Linked DNA regions of Arabidopsis thaliana. The main gene of each other region encodes a partner of the protein of the gene in region 2 in a complex. Each region holds a gene or a part of one and is shown on either strand. Other genes may lie near its edges. The genes, in order: AT5G03220, MED21, AT3G09180 and MED32.

The links.
Region 1: MED21 (region 2) and AT5G03220 share a complex: the UniProt entries of both Arabidopsis thaliana proteins name them as parts of the mediator complex.
Region 3: MED21 (region 2) and AT3G09180 share a complex: the UniProt entries of both Arabidopsis thaliana proteins name them as parts of the mediator complex.
Region 4: MED21 (region 2) and MED32 share a complex: the UniProt entries of both Arabidopsis thaliana proteins name them as parts of the mediator complex.

The regions. Positions count from the first base shown.
Region 1 is NC_003076.8:766,090-770,632, forward strand, and holds AT5G03220 (Mediator complex, subunit Med7), read right to left. Parts: upstream 2,829-4,543; 5' UTR 2,674-2,828; intron 2,502-2,673; 5' UTR 2,496-2,501; coding exon 2,361-2,495; intron 2,280-2,360; coding exon 2,210-2,279; intron 2,046-2,209; coding exon 1,879-2,045; intron 1,792-1,878; coding exon 1,718-1,791; intron 1,589-1,717; coding exon 1,528-1,588; 3' UTR 1,346-1,527; downstream 1-1,345. Other genes in the region: AT5G03230 (senescence regulator (Protein of unknown function, DUF584)), read left to right, coding at 3,547-4,047. UniProt on the Arabidopsis thaliana protein: Component of the Mediator complex, a coactivator involved in the regulated transcription of nearly all RNA polymerase II-dependent genes.
Region 2 is NC_003075.7:2,430,083-2,434,685, reverse strand, and holds MED21 (mediator 21), read right to left. Parts: upstream 2,435-4,603; 5' UTR 2,324-2,434; intron 2,042-2,323; 5' UTR 2,022-2,041; coding exon 1,731-2,021; intron 1,647-1,730; coding exon 1,595-1,646; intron 1,366-1,594; coding exon 1,289-1,365; 3' UTR 1,051-1,288; downstream 1-1,050. Other genes in the region: AT4G04775 (zinc ion binding protein), read right to left, coding at 3,014-3,331, 3,402-3,566. UniProt on the Arabidopsis thaliana protein: Component of the Mediator complex, a coactivator involved in the regulated transcription of nearly all RNA polymerase II-dependent genes.
Region 3 is NC_003074.8:2,816,802-2,822,460, reverse strand, and holds AT3G09180 (mediator of RNA polymerase II transcription subunit), read right to left. Parts: upstream 3,368-5,659; 5' UTR 3,184-3,367; coding exon 2,910-3,183; intron 2,816-2,909; coding exon 2,650-2,815; intron 2,478-2,649; coding exon 2,027-2,477; intron 1,937-2,026; coding exon 1,877-1,936; intron 1,794-1,876; coding exon 1,725-1,793; intron 1,632-1,724; coding exon 1,588-1,631; coding exon of another isoform or gene 1,569-1,587; exon of another isoform or gene 1,510-1,568; coding exon 1,365-1,509; 3' UTR 1,036-1,364; downstream 1-1,035. Other genes in the region: AT3G09190 (Concanavalin A-like lectin family protein), read left to right, coding at 1-811. UniProt on the Arabidopsis thaliana protein: Component of the Mediator complex, a coactivator involved in the regulated transcription of nearly all RNA polymerase II-dependent genes.
Region 4 is NC_003070.9:3,970,910-3,975,252, forward strand, and holds MED32 (mediator of RNA polymerase II transcription subunit-like protein), read right to left. Parts: upstream 2,386-4,343; 5' UTR 2,333-2,385; intron 1,925-2,332; 5' UTR 1,903-1,924; coding exon 1,447-1,902; 3' UTR 1,077-1,446; downstream 1-1,076. Other genes in the region: LEW1 (Undecaprenyl pyrophosphate synthetase family protein), read right to left, coding at 1-34, 104-374, 532-579; AT1G11765 (Plant self-incompatibility protein S1 family), read left to right, coding at 2,999-3,412. UniProt on the Arabidopsis thaliana protein: Component of the Mediator complex, a coactivator involved in the regulated transcription of nearly all RNA polymerase II-dependent genes.

The DNA.
Region 1 (4,543 bases), on a different chromosome or scaffold from region 2:
ACTAATGGAGATGCTCTTATTATCTAGTTGTGAATTTTGTAGAATTGACATATGTATTATACACAACTAGTTATGAATCTAGATTTTTTAAAAGATTTTATAAGGATTAAATCCACCTATTTTCATTGCTATATATTAACCTACAATTATATCTATAATGCATAATGCATTGGTTATTTATGTTTATTGTTTACAATAATGGCAATGAACGTCTATACAAAATTACAAAGAATATATCTAAACAAAAAGTGAATGTCCTTTTATATATGACCCTAGCTATAAAATTTATTCGAGTCCCCCACATGTTTTGTTATGTTCAGATTATTGTCCAACAGATTTACCAATTATAATATGTTTCCTGTTTCTACAATAATATCATCTACTTGTAATTTGTTGGCTATTGCATTTTCATTTTGTCCATCATGCATTTGGTAAAATATTAGTAGTATTTCGCAAGATGTACCAAGCGTCGTTAATATCTGGTCTCTTTTGTCCATTTTCGTCTTTCAGCATCAAGAGAATGAAAAAATTGGAGAGCTGAGTGACGTGTCGCGATACTGACGCCTGAAATATCCGTAATTTTCAAATTGAGATGAGGTCCAGTGGGCCAACTTATGTTGACAAGTGATATCTCACCTATTATTGGCCCACGTAATCCTTTTATTATCAGGTGTATTTTAAATTATATGTAATTATTTTGTATTATTATAATTTAAAGAAAGTCATATCAAACAGCTGAACACTAAATAAATAAATTATAATTCTTTTTTAAACACTATGTTTTTGTTTTATCTTGATATATGGTTGACAAAAATACAAGATTGATAAAGAAAATGAGTCATTGTGGAAACAAAAAATGATTCCACAATTTGCTATTTATTTTGATAGAAACTATTTAAGTAAGTGAACAAGGCATGTCCCTATTTAGTCCACGTGAAGTAATCGGACGTGTCAATTTTGTTTACTGAATAGAGGTGTAATAATCCGACGTGTCATTCATCTTTGGACTATCCAATAATGTGTGCACAGAGTTGGGCCATGTTCCTCTGTGGACAATCCCACTAGTAATCCTCATACACAATAGAGTCATATTATTGAAATTAACTGCAATGAGTTTTTAGATTGGATAAAACTAAAAGAAATGAAACTGGCTAATTGCAATTGGATAAACTGAACATTTATTTTTAATTTGTATTTCTATGAGTTTCTAAAACATCGGTTCAGGTGTCAATCAACTGCTTAAATCAAATTCTTTATTCGAGATATTGACAGATCCATTCACATCAAATGTATGTTCGATATATCATAGTTCCGTTTCGGTTGTATCACCGGTTTATTCTTTCTCTTTTCCTTCAAAAGAAAACCCGGTTAATTATGGTCTAATTAATACAATCCTCATACTATTCAGTCTTAGTTGATTGTCAAATTAACTTTGTTTTAGTGTTAACAAATTATAATAAGCTTCGAAGGTCAATAACAATAACAGACAGATTATTAATTGCTAATTTACACACACAAAAAAAGACTCTATTGACCATCTAAAGTGAGGTAAGCATCCTTTAGAAGTCGCTGTGCTTCTTCTCTTCTTCTGCGCACAACCAAAAACATCAAACGGACCCATAAGAACTACCAACAAAGTTTCTGAAAAATCTTTGAACAGATGATGGATTGATATAAGCACACCATTAAGTACAGTATACAAACAAAATATGCACACCTTTTAATGTCTTCCACAGCTTGTTTCCTCTGTTGAATTTGAAGTTCCATAATGTGAATAAGCGTTGCTCTCGCCTGGACATAAGAGAAGATGATCAAAACAGTGAAAACAAAAACTGATGAAATCATGTTGTAGTTAAGCGAAGATGAGATCTTCTTTACTTGGTGAGGCCTCAAGGAATTGAGAAGGTGATGCAAATTCTTGAAGATAGAAGAAATTTCACCAATCCTCTTCGCATATTGAGAAGGTCTGTCAACAAGAACATCAGCAAGCTCCAATATATGTAACTGTAGTTCTCTATTCAGTGACCTGAGTTCATTCTTGTAATCTACACACAAAGATATTTGAAACTTTCTTCAACGAAACAAAGAGGCAAATGAACTCATGTAATAAGTTTGATTCCAATTAAGGGAAGAACCAAAAACCGTACTCTAGAAAGCAAATAACAATTGGGTTTTGAGTTTGATTCACAAAGCTAAAACAATGACATACCAAGATTAGAATCTTTGGGATAAAGTTGAGGCACTCCTTGTTCTTCTAAGCTTGGAAGAACATCTTCAGTCTACGAACCAAAAAAAATGAAAACTACTAAAACACATAAAGATGAAGATTTTAAAGAGGGGGAAATGTGGAGGAGACTCACAGTATAGTTGCCTCCAAAACAGACGTAGGTGCCTTCAATCGGAGGAGGAGGTTCAGGAGCAGAATTAGGGTTTTCTGAGTAATCCTTGTAGAGTCTGTAATATGGTGGAGGAGGCGGATACGTAGCTGTAGCCATTATTCCCTACAGATCCAAATAAAAAACTAAGCAAAATCAGTAACAGATTCCTAAAATTAAGGTTTCTAATCGATGCAACAAACGATTCAATCCAAAATCTAAGACTTTACTCCAACGATTCTGGATAAAATTTGCAACCATGGTACAAAGAGAAATTAGGGTTAACAAAAACACGAACCTATTGGGAATGCAGAATCGGAAATTATAACCAGACGAGAATAAGATCGAAGAAGCTTTTGATTTTGCTTTGGAGAAGACGGCGTAGAGCAAGAGGTCAATAATGACGAAACGAGTTTTGATTTTCTCGTAAATTTTCGGTTACGTGTTCGGACGGTTCGTATAAGTCTGGTTTCTTTTGGTTTAGTTTCGGTTTAATTAAAACAATGGCTTTTCAGTTTAATTCGATTTCTGCTGTTTGGATGTGATTAATCACCCCACTAATGATGTTATTCTTACGTTTTTACATTTAAAAAATAGTAAATATTTTTACTTTATAATAAATAAATATATTTTTTGTGTATTCTAGATTTTTTTGTCAATTTAAATAGAAATTAACAAATATTTTAATAACAAAAAAAAATTAAAACAGCTAAAAAAATCATATCTAACAACATTAAATCTTAAGATAACTTAAATTAAATCAAAGACGAAGATAAAAATTCCATTAACATCATCATTTTGATCATAAACTCATAAAGTTTTTACTATTTAAGAAAAAGAAAAACAAAGGACGAGTGAAACAAAAAAAGAGAGCTCACGATAAGAACGTGAGACTTGCCACACCTTATAAACTTTTTTTTTTATCTTCTTTTGTACTTTTGTCGTTTACTGTGTAAGTCATAAACTCACATAAGTTTAACCCAATGAGAGAGCTTATCTCTTTACTACATTTCTCTATAAAAATGATCATCTCAACACATTTCTCCTTCAATCTCAAATTTCACAAAAACCCTCTCAGATTTTTTCTACAAGCTGATCAAAACCCAGAATCCAGTTTTCATAAAAACATCATCTTTCTTTTATTCTTCTTTACACGCTCTGTTTTTCATCAATGGCGTCAAGGAAGCTTTTTTTTGTCAAACCTAAATATATCTATCCAGAACCAAAACCAGAGATGTCCGATGAGAATGTCTTTGAATTCGACGAATCTGATATTCATAACTTAGGCGATCATCAATTGCCGAATTCATTCGACGCGAAAAGATCGATATCAATCTCTCGGTTACGGAGAAAACCGACGAAAACCGGAGATTCAGGTAACCGGGAGATTACAAAGACCGGTTCGCTTCCGGTTAATATCCCCGATTGGTCTAAGATCTTGAAGAGTGAGTATAGAGGTCATGCGATACCTGACGATGACAGTGACGACGATGACGAGGATGATGACGATAGCAACGACGGTGGGAGACGGATGATTCCGCCGCACGAGTATTTGGCAAGACGGAGAGGATCGTCGTTCACGGTGCACGAAGGAATCGGTGGGACGGCGAAAGGAAGAGATCTAAGGCGATTGAGGAACGCGATTTGGGAGAAGATTGGGTTTCAGGATTAGTAATATAATAAGTATGTAATTAATTATAACTCTCTATAGGTAAACTTTTAATTACTTAGAGATCTTAAGTAAGGACTTGGTGTTTTTTTATTGGAGGGGTTTAGAGGATCGTTATAGTTTCGGTCCGAAGGAGAATTTTTCCGATTTCCTTTTGGCGTTATTTTTGTTTTTTGGAGTTTTTGATCATCGTCTATTTTTCTTTTTCTTTTTTGGATATGATCAATAATATTTTATATTTTTGTGTGTTTCAAATATGTTGAATTTTGGTTGTTGTGTGGTTACTTCAATTTTTACAGAAATCTACAGAGAAATAGGCAGTGGCGGAACTAGAACTTGCAGCTCTAGGGGTCAAAATGTATAAAGGAATGATCATAGGGGTCAATTTATGTATTTCATTGGTGTTAATTTAAAAACTGTAGCAAAAAAATAACTAAATTTCATAATTCCATGGGGGTCATATGAAGAAGATAAACGAATGCTAAGATCTATTGAACTC
Region 2 (4,603 bases):
TTGCTACAGCACCCTCTGCTACAGCCACCTTTGCCTCAACGTCTTCCTCTTCAACAATGTCCTGTGGGTTTCGATTTACGGGTTCGATTAGTTTCAAGAGGATGCAGTCAATTCTGATAACTAGATCATCAGTTTCCAAAAGATCAAGAGGTTTTCGGTATATCATTGGTTCTTGTTTATGGTTTGGCAGGATGTATCAGGTTCTACTAGCTGCAGGGGATTCAGAAGGTGCCAAGGCATTGATATAAAAAATTCCAATAGATGATAAAGATGTACAACATATCATCGAAGAAAGTCGGTCTGCATTTTCTCAAGCACCCAACAAGAAGAAACCTAAAAAGAATATGAGTGTTTCATCAACAAACTACCGTAAAACATCTATAAGTTAATATTGTTTGGGACCGAGAAAATTAATTAATTTATGGATAAATTAATAATTATCAATTTATAAAGAGATTTTACAAATTTTATAATTTCTTACAAAAATTTAATTTTAAAAGTGATCTTTTCTTTATAATCAATAATCTTTCTTAATCCGATTATAAGTAGAAAACAATTATTAAGTTTAAAAAAAAAATACAATTTTTTTTTTTCACATAGTAAAAGTATTAGAATTGAACTTTACAAAAAATTAATAAAAATTAAAGAAAAACAATAGTAGAGTCATATTTCACTAAATATTTTACATATAATATTTATATAAATATATATATTGGTAAATTTATACAATTGTTAATTTATAATATTGATCGGACTGGCTAAAGTTTTCTTTTCATCCTAAAGCTTCATCACGCAGACAAAAGATTGTTGGACTCTATACAAGTCTTGTGAGAGAGCGCAAGAAGGATGATGAGTTAGGATATCTTCACATGCTTGAGTACAAATACACAATCAAGATCCGGTTTTGGACCACAACTTATGGACTGGTCATTTCTTTTCAGCAACTTGGATTGAATGTGACAGATACCAGAGTTCATAGTAATTTGACCATCATAGTAATTTGACCAACACTGCCCGGAGAATCAAACATGATGTGTCAATCATGGCCTGTAATTGTGAAAATGATAAAGTGGATTCTCTGAGATTGTAATCAGACAGGTCAAAAAAGTGTAAGGTTAAAATAATGGTTCTGTTGTTGTGAGCTAACTAACATTCTTGTAATTGCTTCTACAACAATTTTTTGGTGAACCAACTTAGAATAGATATTCCTTATGAACCTAAAAGATAATTGTTGCTGAACCAAATCATATAGTTTCTAAATCAGCTCGACAAAAGGTAAACAAGCATTTCATTCAGGTTTCTTCATGTTCAGGCAATTGTCAGCAGCTTGTCCAAACAGCTCTTGTACTTGCTTTAGCTCCTTCTCTGTCACAAACAAGGTCACACCATTAACATCAGCTCAATCGTCAGAGGCAGTTGCAAGGGAAAACAAAAATTCCAAATTCTAGAACCACTAAAGATAACATCTAACCATAGTGCGTGTATCAACAAGAAAGTATACAAATTGAAATTTGAAGTGCATAATGAATCTGCTCCAGTTACAGACAGATAAGACACACCAACAATGAAGTGAAAACCTAAGATCGTTTTTTACCTGCAGCCTCTAGTTGCTTTTGGAGTTCTTGACCAACAAGATCATTTTCCACCTGAAGAAAAAACAGGACAAAGCGGTTAGACAAATAGAAGTAATCGGATTCAAGAACTCGACATATCGGTGTGACTTGTTTGACCTGGAGTTCAGCGATTCTTTTGAGCTGAGCACCTTCACCACCTTCTGACAAAGGAAGTGCAGCAACCAAAGCATCAAACTGTTTAGCAGCCTTAACTAAGCCAGCACTGAGCTGCTTAGGTTGCTCAGGAAAAGGCGTAGCATCATCAGTAACCGTAGTTGTAGCGGGTGGTTCAGGATAATTAGGTGAAAGCTGGACTGGTGGTGCATCCCTTTGCAGTGTCCCAAAAGCATTGAAAGTGATAGCAGCAATCGTATTCACTTGTTCTTGCAACTGTGAGATTATATCCATCTTCCAAAACCTTAAAAGACCTTGAACAAGTATAAAATTTACAGTAATCAATCACATATTAGACTTTTAACATATACTCAAAAGCAAGATATAACGTTCAGAGAGGATCTAGGAGATTCAAATGGCACAAAATTGGTGGTCAATTCCTGAATTTATCAAACAAGATTCTCAACAAAACTAGTGCCAAAGCATAAATCACTTAAAACCAGTTGGATTTCAGAGAGGATCAAAATGGCGAATCCTCAGGGAAAAAATTGACCTAATCGATTTAACGAAGCATAAGCTTTAACGAAGAGACTTACCCGTCGACAAGATTTCTCCGGCGACGCAGAGTCTGTTGGGTGTGGCAACGACAGATAATCGCTGCGAATTGGGGCGTTTTGTTGTTCTTAATAAACTTCGTTCTGCGTTTTGGGTTTGGGCTCGAAGATTTTTAAAATGGGCTTTTAAGGTGGCCTTTCCTTTGGATTTTTGGGCCCTAATTCCATAGAATTCGTAAGGAACGATTTCTGTTGTTTCTTTAAACCTACTGCTTTAATTAATTGACAACTAATTAAAAAAAAAAACACTGAAGTAGAATTGGGTGGCTGATTTTTGAGCCATAAACTATTTCGATTCTCAGCTTTCACCCCCGGACTTTTGGGCCCTTAAATTTTCACCATCAACTTTCATATTCCTCAAAATTACATCATCTACTTTCGAATTCATGCTTAAACATACATTTCCAATTGAACCATTCATTTAACCGGGATTAACCACAAATCTGCGTTTACTGTACCGCGATTGCGATTAACCTGACTAATACCCAGACCCGTTAAGAAAACGACGTCGTTTTCATTTCGTTTAACTCATCAAAAAGAGAAAGAAAACGACGTCGTTTTCATTCTTCTTCTTCTGCAAAATCGATTTGGTCGATTAGGGTTCTTCATTCGACAATTTTATAACAGAGACTAATCCAATACTACAATTTCACTCCAAAACCTCAACAACACCTACACTCTTCCCCAAAGCCATACAATAGATGCAACAATCACAACAGCAACCCCTACAGTCTTCAAAGCTGACTTTGCCATAACATGTCCTAGCTCTTCCACATTCTCCTTCATGGTCAAGAGTTCACCCTCCATCTTCTTAATCAGCTCTTCCTCCATCTGCTTAGCGTTTTTATTAAGGAGCTCCATATTAGCCATCACGTTCATTCTGAGGTCACTAATATTCTCTACAACTCTCTTACACTTCTCATTTACCATCTTAATTTCGTCCAAGAGAGCTTCATCAACCCATTTGAACAAGTGCTCTTCATTTTCTCTCTATAAAACATAATTTCCAATCATTTACTCCTTCAATCAATCAAATATATCACAAAATCGAAATGTGTACCTTCATTGCTATCGCACAACGGTAGAATCTCCGGTATGGATTCTCCTTTGTTTTCGATGTGAATGTAATGATCTCTTCTCCACACCAACATTTCGAGGGGACACCAGGAGGACAGACACGAAATCCTGAACTGGAAGCGGATGAGTAGTAGCTGTTGGTGCTCATTTTCTTATAAAATTGTCGAATGAAGAACCCTAATCGACCAAATCGATTTTGCAGAAGAAGAAGAATGAAAACGACGTCGTTTTCTTTCTCTTTTTGATGAGTTAAACGAAATGAAAACGACGTCGTTTTCTTAACGGGTCTGGGTATTAGTCGGGTTAATCGCAATCGCGGTACAGTAAACGCGGATTTGTGGTTAATCCCGGTTAAATGAATGGTTCAATTGGAAATGTATGTTTAAGCATGAATCCGAAAGTAGATGATGTAATTTTGGGAATATGAAAGTTGATGGTGGAAATTTAAGGGCCCAAAAGTCCGGGGGTGAAAGCTGAGAATCGAAATAGTTTATGGCTCGAAAATCAGCTAACCCAAGTAGAATCGATACTGATTGTGTCTAGTGCTTTAATTATCTCTAGTAGATCTTCAAGGTTTATGCCTTGTCCCTAGTACATTTTGCTATCTCGGTCTGGTGGGTGAGGTGTGATGGTGTTTGTACTTATGTCTCTGGTTTCAGCGGCTTCTTGCTTTCCTCTCTGTCGATTTACTATTAGTTTTGACTTCGGTGTAAAATCTATCCGATCTTATTGGTGTTTCCGGCGTTCACATTTTTTAGGAGAAGTTTAGGTCTTATTTTTCCCATAGTTTTTTATTTTCTTTTGAATTTTGTCTCTTGATTCAATTTCGTTGGTTTAAAATGTTTCCTTATATATGTTTTTGGTTTTACTTCCTTTTTTTCAGCTAAGTTTCTCAAAATATTCCGTTGGTCTGTTGGCTTATGTATTTCAACTTGTATTCTACTTTAGTTTCTAATATAATTCAGATGAGAAAAAAAAAGAATTAAAACTGATTTCAGTGTACCAAACTAAACTGAAATGAATGAACCAACAAATTTTAAAATAAAATATTATTAAGTTTTTGAAATAAAAGATCAAACTAATTTTTTTTTTCATTAACAAAAACAAGAAACCAACCCGTAAATCGGATTATAAAATATCTAATATCTTTGTTTGTTTTGTCCAAGTATAAAAAATATCTAATAT
Region 3 (5,659 bases), on a different chromosome or scaffold from region 2:
CAATCTATTCCAAGGTAAAGAGAGGAACTCCGTTATTTTCTCGACTTACTTCTCGTTTTCGATGCCCAATGAGATTGGTGATGTCTTGGCTTTTGTAATGGTTCCAAGTACTTTGGATCTTAGTCTGTTTGGTAAGAAAGATTACAGTTCCTCTGCTTTAGGGTTTCTATTAGAGTATGCAAAGAACGAGACAGTTGTTGCTTTTGAGTTTGATATCTCCAAGAGAGGAAACCGTGCAAGAGTCTTAATTGGTAGACCTGAGTCTGCCAAAATTAGAAACCTTTCGTTTGTGGGTGACTTGATGATGGATGATGGAGGGATTTTGAGCTGTATGATTGATTATGAGGCAAGTTCTAAGAGAATGAGGGTTCGTTTCAGAAAACGTGGTTCGATAAAGATGTTTGATCCGTTCTTCTCTTTCTCGGTAGACTTGGAGAAGCTTTGGAAAGGTGGTGAAGTCATGGTGGGTTTAAGCTCTGCTAATGGGAACTCTTCCAAGCCACATTTTCTCCATTCATGGAGCTTTGAAATATGGCATCTTGATCCGATATGGGTGCAACCAGCGCCATTAGGACCAAATGAAGGTTTGAAGCCGGACGTTTCCACGGAAATGGAAGAGGGCCGAGAAAATAGTGAGTGTATATGGAGAATGCTTGGTGCTCTGGTCTTGGCTGCAGTATGTGGAGCCGTAGGGGCAATGTCAGCTATGTATCTTTGGACTATTTGCAGTGTTAGGCGGTCAATGGCCGTGGTTCCAGAGGAATGTGCAGTGAGCATTGTGGTCGTTGCAGTTAAAGATGGCAAGAAGTAATGAGAAGTTTGTTTGGCTTTGGCTTTGGTTTAAGAAGGTTGTCTTGTTGTAGTGTAAATGTAGTACCTTCTTCCACTTCCTCTGGTGTTATCTTTATTTAGTGTTTTCTTTTATTTGCTTCGTTAGTTGCAGGTTTCACATGTACAATCTCTATGAAAGAAGCCGTAAGCTTATTTGATCTTGCAAAATAACTTAATTTATTGATCTTGCATTTAACATGTTTTATATTTCTGGATCGGAAGCAAAAATCAACACCCACTGTCTTTTTCTCACTTTGATGCTGACTGCAACAGAGTAATGTGAACCGAGTTAAAAAAAAAGGTCTCTGTTCAGTCATCTCGTGAACAAAGATCAAATCTCTAGAAAGAAGACAACATTCACATGTTACCAGAGAGTAGAAAGAAAGAAAGTTAATCTAAACCTCAACATGGGACATCAACAACAAACAAGAGGTATATCAAGGAGAAGAGCAGATACTAAAGATCCATACAAAATGTTATTAGAACTTATTTCTAACCTTTCTTTTAATTGATCCTCCCTAATCACTAGAGTACTAGGTATCATCTTGAGAGCAACTGGAGTGGTAAGCTTCACAAACGTCCAGGTTTAATGCAAGAGGCAATTCTTGGTAAGCGCGGTGTAAAGGAGGTAAGATTAACGCAGACTTTTTATCCATTGCTAATAGCCTTCCACATTTACTGCATCATCAGAAGAGAAATGAAAAGTTAGTCCACGGGAAACAAATGTATTAGAAGAATTACGGAGAGTCTGCATACGTGCAAGGTTTGCTAAATACGGATTCAAAACTGCATATCCATAGCTGCATAAGAAGAAGAGAAAGGTGTTAATTAACTTCCAGACAAAAAAGGTTCATGTTATCCAGAGACTGAAGTGTGCTTGTAAAATGCTTTACCAGAAGAGAGTAGAGAGCTGTTCCAGTACCAAAGCCGAGGAAATATTGCAAGGCTGTAGCAGCATGTTCCTGCAAGAAAAATCTAATTAATGCAAGTCCCCAATGAATCAAATTTGTTAAACTATATATAATATCAATCGCATCTTTATTACCGTTATGTGTTTGTAAACATGATAAACCGAGAAGCCTCTCGCATGTAAGTAGCTGCCTCCCTGTAAGAAAGGGATGAAGCTAAAACATGAGAACTTAAACAATTTCACATGAGAATCAGTATATTTTAATGCAAGGAGGTTGGAAGTGACCTCATCTGGGGAGAAGAAAGCAACTGCATCTGGATCAACAGAACCCGCTGGACTCAACGAGACTATAGCTCTGAATAGAGAAGGAAATGATAACTCAATAACAGCAATCTTGTCGACAACTTCAGTCTGTAACCCTGATCTCAGCTTGCTAGAACTCTGGAAAATAGGTTTCGATGCTTCTGTAGGATCATCACTACCTGACCCAGGTAAAGAGTTAGCTCTTTTAAGCCAGTTCAATCGTCCATAAGTAGACACCTTCACACTCGGAACCAGCTTCTCTAAACGCGATTGTATATCTGGCAATGTTTTGTAATCAACCGGCTCCTCTCTTCCATTTTCTAATAGCAAATGGGAGGCACGATGTTTTTTTGAGCTTGGTTCCATCTTTAATCCATCATCAATATGAGGGAAGAATCGTCTTTTCTGATCCGTGAAGGCCTTGAGAGCTAACCTACAGTCATTATACACAACGCGAGAAAATGGAGAATGCATGAGATTCAGTAGAATTGGTTAGCTGATGAAACTCCAAGTTGGTACCACCAAGCTTCACTAACAGCCCTAATATGCAGACTCGAACCTAAACCCTAAGTATGCTTTAAAATGATTAGCAACGAATCTGATACCTGGTTCTATCAACAGCAGAAGCACCAGCTTGGCCAGCAAGCTGTCTTTTCCAAGCATAAGCAACGACTGCACCATCTGGACAAACCAAAGGCATGTGAAGACCCCAAGAGTTACTTCTTGACCTAAGTGATTCAGTTAACACTCCAGATTCTTCCAATTTCTTCCCTGAACCAAGCAATAAACATTGATCGATCCTTAAAAGCCCTAATCTAGAGAATCAATCAATACTAATGAAAATGATTCAGTTTTGGTTCAGCACCTATTAAGCGAAGATCCTGAAGATGTTGACGCATGGAGGCGTCTTCTCTGAGAAAGAGCTGAAGAGGCATGTCTGTGTGACGAGGTTGCGAAGCCACGAACATAGCTTCAAGGATACGGTCAGCGCCGAGGCGGATATCGGCGATAACCCTAGCCGCTTGATTGAGTCGTTCCATGGCCTGAGCCACCTGTTTCGGCGGCGCGTCCGATTCAGACTGATTGTTCGCCGCCTCGGCCGGATTCTGGAGAAGTTGGGACTGGTGTAGCGTCTGCATAAGCTGTGATTCAAGCACACTCTTTCGATTTCAATGAAATTGATCTTCTTGACGACGACGGAAGGAGAGGAATGTTTCTGGACTCGGAGAATTTCACGTTCAAATCTCAATCTACTGTAACGCCAGACGCAATTTTGTAGCGTTTGCGTTTCAAAGGCGTTTTTGTTGATATGCTTGCTTCTGCTCCTTCACGTCTTATTTTGTTTAATTTATTCCACTCTGTTAAATTGAGTTTTACTCCATTAAGCAATGCTTTATGGCTCATGTTGGACTGAAAATGTATTTTGTAATCTCAATGTTTGTGGGACTTTTAGTTTTTAGCCCATATGTACAGTTTGTTCACTTTAATATTTTTTTTTTTTTAGTTTGTACATGTAAAAAAATGGGAAATTTGCAAATATAGCCAACAAAAAAATTATAATTGCAAAACTAACACTTCAACCAATATGTATTGAACTTTATGCAATATTGACAAACTTAACCCGTGCGTGAGCACACGCGCTTATTCTTCTTCTTCTGAGTTTTCAATCGATAACTTCTATGTATTACTCTGTAAAAATTCAAATAGAGGTGAACATTCAGAGAAGTTACAGTAAGAAAATCTGAAAATTCTGGGCTTTAAAAAGCGACACCCGGGAAAGTTTCGAAGAGCAGACTGCGTGTGCAATCCGAGTGACGATTCTAGAGTTTACGAAGATTGAATTTGTGGGTTTCGATTTGGGGACTGTGGAGGCTTCGATTTCTGGCAATCGGACTGCATAAATCTTCTGCAATTGGAGGAGGAGCCTATCTAAGCATCCGAGTTTCGTACAACACTTATGTTGGCTCTTTTCTCAATCGAGGGTTTTTGATTCCGTTGAGAGTACTTGAGTGAGTTTTGTTGTACGGGAGTAGAGGTGTTTATATCTCCGTCGTCTCCACTGTAACACTCGAATTTCTGTGGCAATTGGTGTCGGCGAAGGGATTCAGCCAAATTAAGGTATGAAATGCCATTTTTTGGCTTTTGGGAAAATCTTTTTAATTTGTGTTGAAGAGCTTGAATAGCATAAACTCGGATTTGAGTAGCTTTAGGTAGGGAATCTGCTTGGTTAATACGATATTCATTTGTAATTGTTATGAAGGTTTAGGATTTAACTCTACTTCAATGTAATCCATTTGTGTTTGTTGATAGTAACGGAAGCTACTCAAATTGGTTGTATGTGTTAATGACATTTTTAGTTTTATTTGCAGTATTGAATAGCATAAACTCGGATTTGAGTAGCTTTAGTTAGTGAATCTTTGCTGGTTAATCCGATATTCCACTAATTGGTGTTATGAAGGTTTAATATTTAACTCAACTTCTATGTAATCCATTTGTTGTTGTTGATAGTAACGGAAAGCTGAGGCTATATTGGTTGAGTCTGTTAATAACATATATTTACATCTAAGATTTATATATTTTGTATTTGTGTAAGTAGCAGCATCAAAAAAGTGATACGTGGACATTTGTATTTCAGTGTATCTGTTCCATGGGGGATGTAGAGTTGCCAAAGCGTTTGTTTCGGCTAGGTTCTGAACCTGAGGGCCGAAAGAGGATAAACAATTACTTTACTCTTAGGTGGATTGAGATCATCAAGGCTGCTCTAGATCAAAACCATTTGAAGCAGCTGGAGGGTTCGCAGTTTGGATTTCTGTTGCAAATGGGGACGCATCAGTTTTCTGTAATGTTCTTACATTACATTCTATCTAGGCAGTTGGTGACAGATAAGAAGTATGAAATGTGGTGGGTGTTTGCAGGGAAGCCAATTCGATTTGCCATTGATGATTTTGCACTTGTTACCGGGCTTAACTGCAGCAAATCTGGATTCAACAAAAAGGATGCAAGGACAAGAGGGAAAATGAAAGCGGTTCAGAATCCTACGAGGTTCTACAAGGCATTATTTGGGAAAGAGAGAAAGCCTACTTCACAATGGATTGTTGGGAAGCTATCTATGGGGAAGAAATACAAAGACCCGTTGACTCGATTTCGCCTATCGTTGCTGCTACTAGTTGATGGGATTCTTTGCCCGACATGTTCGCGAACTATCATCGATCCTGACCATGTAGAGATGGTAAAAGATGTAGAATCCTTTCTTAAATATCCTTGGGGTAGAACTTCGTTTCTCGCGACTATTCGAAGCGCCAAGCAAAGAACAGCCAAGGAGCTTGCACAAGATACCACAGCTATACAAGGGTTTCCTCATGCCTTAGTTCTTGTGACAGTGGCATGTTGTCCAGCTATTATATACACGGCAGACTCGGTGTTTAACATTCTAGACCCAACCATTCCAGTCGAGAAGCTGGTTCAGTATGTATTGGGGCTGAGTTTGAACATCAATGTGCATGATGCACGAACTATCGACCAAAGTGGCATGGTAATTCTATTGTTGTAAAGCTTGTTCTTTGTATTTGGTGTAGAAAGATTGTGTACTTGACTTATCTATTCTATTGACTCTTA
Region 4 (4,343 bases), on a different chromosome or scaffold from region 2:
TCAAGGATCAAATCCTTGGATTTCTTCAATAAACCTAAAGAAGCCAACATCAGCAATCATTTAATGAACGTGAAAAAACGAGATAAGTAGCTAAAGCATGTACCTTGAGAGTCAAATAGACCAACTTGTTTAACCCCAATGGTGGTTAGCCATTGCAAAAGCTCAACAACATTGGCAACATCTTGAGCTGCTTCGATGTCCACTACAACAGCTAGACACCGGAGTTTCTCAAGATCGATGGAACCGTACTTTTTATTCAATCCTAACGTTATGGCATAGCTTTCTATTGCCTCAAATATGCCAGAGACAATGTACCATAAGCTCACAACAATGTGTATAAAACGCCATAGCAAATTAAGACCAAGATCACCAATCTGTGGAATACAAAAATTCAACAGAAACAAAGTTATGGCTTGAAGACTCAAATTGGCAACACCAAATTGTTCTTAAACACTTAATTCCATAGGCCTTGTTGAAGCATTAATGAGCTAAAGCCTGTCAATGATCAAGGAATACAAAAAAAAATCTCACTTGACCAATCCAAGCACTGAGGAGCCGCATCGATTGATTCGAATCCATATATCTGAAAAATCAGAAAACACACAACAGAATCAGAAGAAATTTGAACAAAAGGGTTGTCAGAAATCAGAATTAACAAAGAGAAGAGAGACGTACACAAAAAGTGACTGTCTCCGTAAACAACGAAGGTGTTTGCTGCGTGTGTTAGGGAGATGTTTCCAAACCAACCAATCGAACTTTCCTAAAACCCAAAATTCCTTTTCATCGGAATCGGAAAAGGAAGAATCTTTGGAGGCGAGGTTAGAAAAAGTGAGACACTTTTGAAGATGATCTTATTAGCCTCTGTATCCTGGTTTTGGCGATTCGTTTGCTTAAACCTTAGCAAAAAATCACTCTAGTTTGCGAAACTAACTCTGTTATCTGAGAGGAGTGTGAGACGTCTCGGGTTCAAACCCTATAACTTAAGTCTTAAGTGTGTTTCTAACTTTTCTTGTCACGGTTTTGTTGTGAGTGTTCATGTTTTTGTTACGTTTATCACGATTTTGCTGTGAACGTGAGGTAATCAAAACTCAAAATTATACTAGTTCGTTTACATTTTTAAACTCTTGATAATCATGGTTAATACAAAACCAAAAACACATCATGTACAAGATCAAAATTAGTATTCTTTTTGAAACAACAGAAACATAATAACATATGAAGAATCACACAAAAAAAGAACAGCTTCTTTACTTGAGATTCAGAATAAAAAGCCCAATATTTAGTAAGAGTCATAAGTCCTAAATGATACCCCCAGTGTTGCTTCTAGCTTGGCTCAATCCCATGAAATAACAGAACATAACACTGATTAGGCCACTCTTCCCATCACAACGACTGACTCGAGAGTTATGGAGCTGCGGTTGTCGAACTTAACACTAACTAGGCACGCTATTGAGTCGAGTCTTCAGAGAATCTAGAATCAAACCCGGTAGAGGATGAATGAACAGAACCAGGAGCTACACCAGAGCCACGTTGCAGCTCAAGAACAAGCCATCGAACCGCTCTACTCATCTGTTCAAGCCTTACTGCACTAATGGGAGGGAGACTAGTCGCAGCACCAGTCACCGCTGCTGGTGCTTGGCCACCTGCTGCAGTAGTAGTTAAACCAGTAGCCTCATCAACTAAACACTCAGATCCAATTCTCTGCTTAACTGACTCCACAAACTCCTCTGCTTGATCACAAGCCACACGGAACAGTTCCCATTTCTCCTTGAAATTCTCCAACGCAGTATCAGTGAGCAAAGCTTTTTGTCCACCTGCACTCTCTTTAGACTCAAGAACACCAGCTGAAGCAAGAACAAACTTCTCATAAGCTTTGTTCAATGAGTCCACAATGTTATCCATTTGATCCCTCCCCTTCAAATAACTGCTCAAACCAAGTATCAATCATGAGATTTCAAGTTAAACAAGAAAAAACTGCAAAAGGAATCAAGTAAGATCCCAGCAAAAGTATCTGGAAATAAGAAACCCTAAAAACCTCAAAAAATCTTAATTCGTTCTCGTTAACGCTACACATAGAATGAGAGAACTCAAAACCTCAGGGAAAGAATAAGATGCTACGGTAGCAATGGAAGCTAAATGATCAAAAAGATTACATCTTTGAGACAGAAATTTAACGAAATTGCAAAACTCGCGATTGCTTTCGCAAACCTAGGGTTCAAATTCACGGCATAGAATCCGTAAACTCGTGAAGGAATTGAATCATTAGAGCAGTTTTAGACAGAATCTAAAAAAATCAGCCCAAAACCGCCGGAGATAAAGAGGAGAAACTTACCGGCGATGAACGGAGAGTCCGATTTGTGTCACTTTCTTTCTTCTTCTTCTTCATTGTAATAGTCTGGTTAGGTTTATATGGTAAAAATTGAAATTAAGATTGGTTAATACAAACCGGACCGACATAAACCGGATTGGTCATTTGGATTTTTTTTTTAATGTTAAAATTCCATATACATACAATTTAATTTCTCATCTTTTAAATATGTGTGTTTAATGTTATAAAATAAAACATCTAATCGAAATCAAGACGATTTTAATCAACTTTAGTGTTAATATAATAATAAAGTTATCACAATTAAACGATAGATATGTATATACTAATCGAATTATTTATCTGTTTGTAACGAATTGGCAGAATATAATAGGTAGTATTTGGTAAATGTATCACGTCAAATTACTGTCCGTGTTGAAAACAAATGTTCTTTGGAAATATTTACTCAAAGATCTAAATCCATATATTGTTCTCCACTCAACCATCCATATCTATTGTTGTGTTTGAAACGATTTGATACCGCAAATCATTAATAGAAAATACTAATAATAAGAGAGCAATATATAATAAGAACGTAAATTCAAAAATAGCATACATATATGTCTATATATACAATACCGTAAATAAAAAATTACTCCGATGACAAAACCTCTAAGCATCTAGAAAGAAAAAATGAAAAATACTTCAATCTTTCTAGTTGTCTTTGCCCTATGCATGATTAGCAATGCATATGGCCATTCGAATCCATTTAAAGGAAAAAAGACGTCGTTGTTATTCAGGAACAGTCTTTCTCACAACAAATGGCTCAAGGTACGTTGTAAATCTGGGGACAATGATGTTCGTGAAAGATATATGAAACCTGGAGAAGATTGGGGTTTTAGTTTCCACGATGACGTTATGGGAGAAACACTTTTCTGGTGTACAATGTATAAAGGAGCTGATTACAAGGTACAAAAGAAGTTTGACGCATATGTTCAAGACAAGAGAATGCCTCATGGTGGCTCGTATAATTATGTTGCTCAAGAAGATGGGATCTATCACAGTACTTTGATACACCGTATGCGGAAGATGTATGATTGGAATTAGGGATGTTGGATAAAACTCTCCTATGTTTATCCAATATTTATAAAATGCTTATTCAAATCTTTGATTTGATATAGTTGTAAAGTATTATTATTACTCTTTGTTTTCATGTAAGAATCACTCTTTACATTCAAAGAAAAGTGTAAGGGAGAAGTTTCAGAATGATTCAAAGAAGGACAATTTGTTTATGTGCATGTTATCCTCATGTCAATTTAAGGAATTCGTCAAGAACAAAAAATAACATGCCATTATTAAAAAAACATTACGTTTGCGCCACAAGCTCTTGACATTGCTTAATTACTTGTTCTCGCCTTTGTTCGAAGTGTTTTTGTTTGTAAGATCATATATCAGCTATACATCCTCCTTGCATTTATTATAGTGCCTAGATTTTTTTTTTTTTTTTTTTGACATTCAGTGCCTAGAATTTTGGTTTATGTAGATAGAAAAGTGACACTCGACGCAAATTCGAAAGAATGCCACCGAAAAAAATGGAACGAATGATGTTTCGCTATGTTGGATGCTTCAGATCCCATATAACAACACTACTCTCAAAATTCATAAACTCTCAAAACATATTAATTTAGTAGCATCACGAAAATACATGTTGTTCTCAAATCATTACAATAACTTCTACTCTTATTAGCTGAAAAGTATAACCTTATGTTTTTGTAAAAAGATTGCTAAACGTTATATTTGTATATCTTTTCAGTTTGTTAATGTCATTAGAACGAAGTGTAAAATCGCTTCAAGATTTGTTATTCTAAATGTATTTTAGAACAAATATTCTGAACATTAAATTATTTTCAACAAAATTTATTTTGAATAACAAATAACTTGTCATGGTCGTAACTCTTTTTTTTCATTCTCTAGATTGAATCAAAAATAATTTTGTTTTGTAGTATAAAACATTTTTGGTCTTTTATTCACCGTTTTA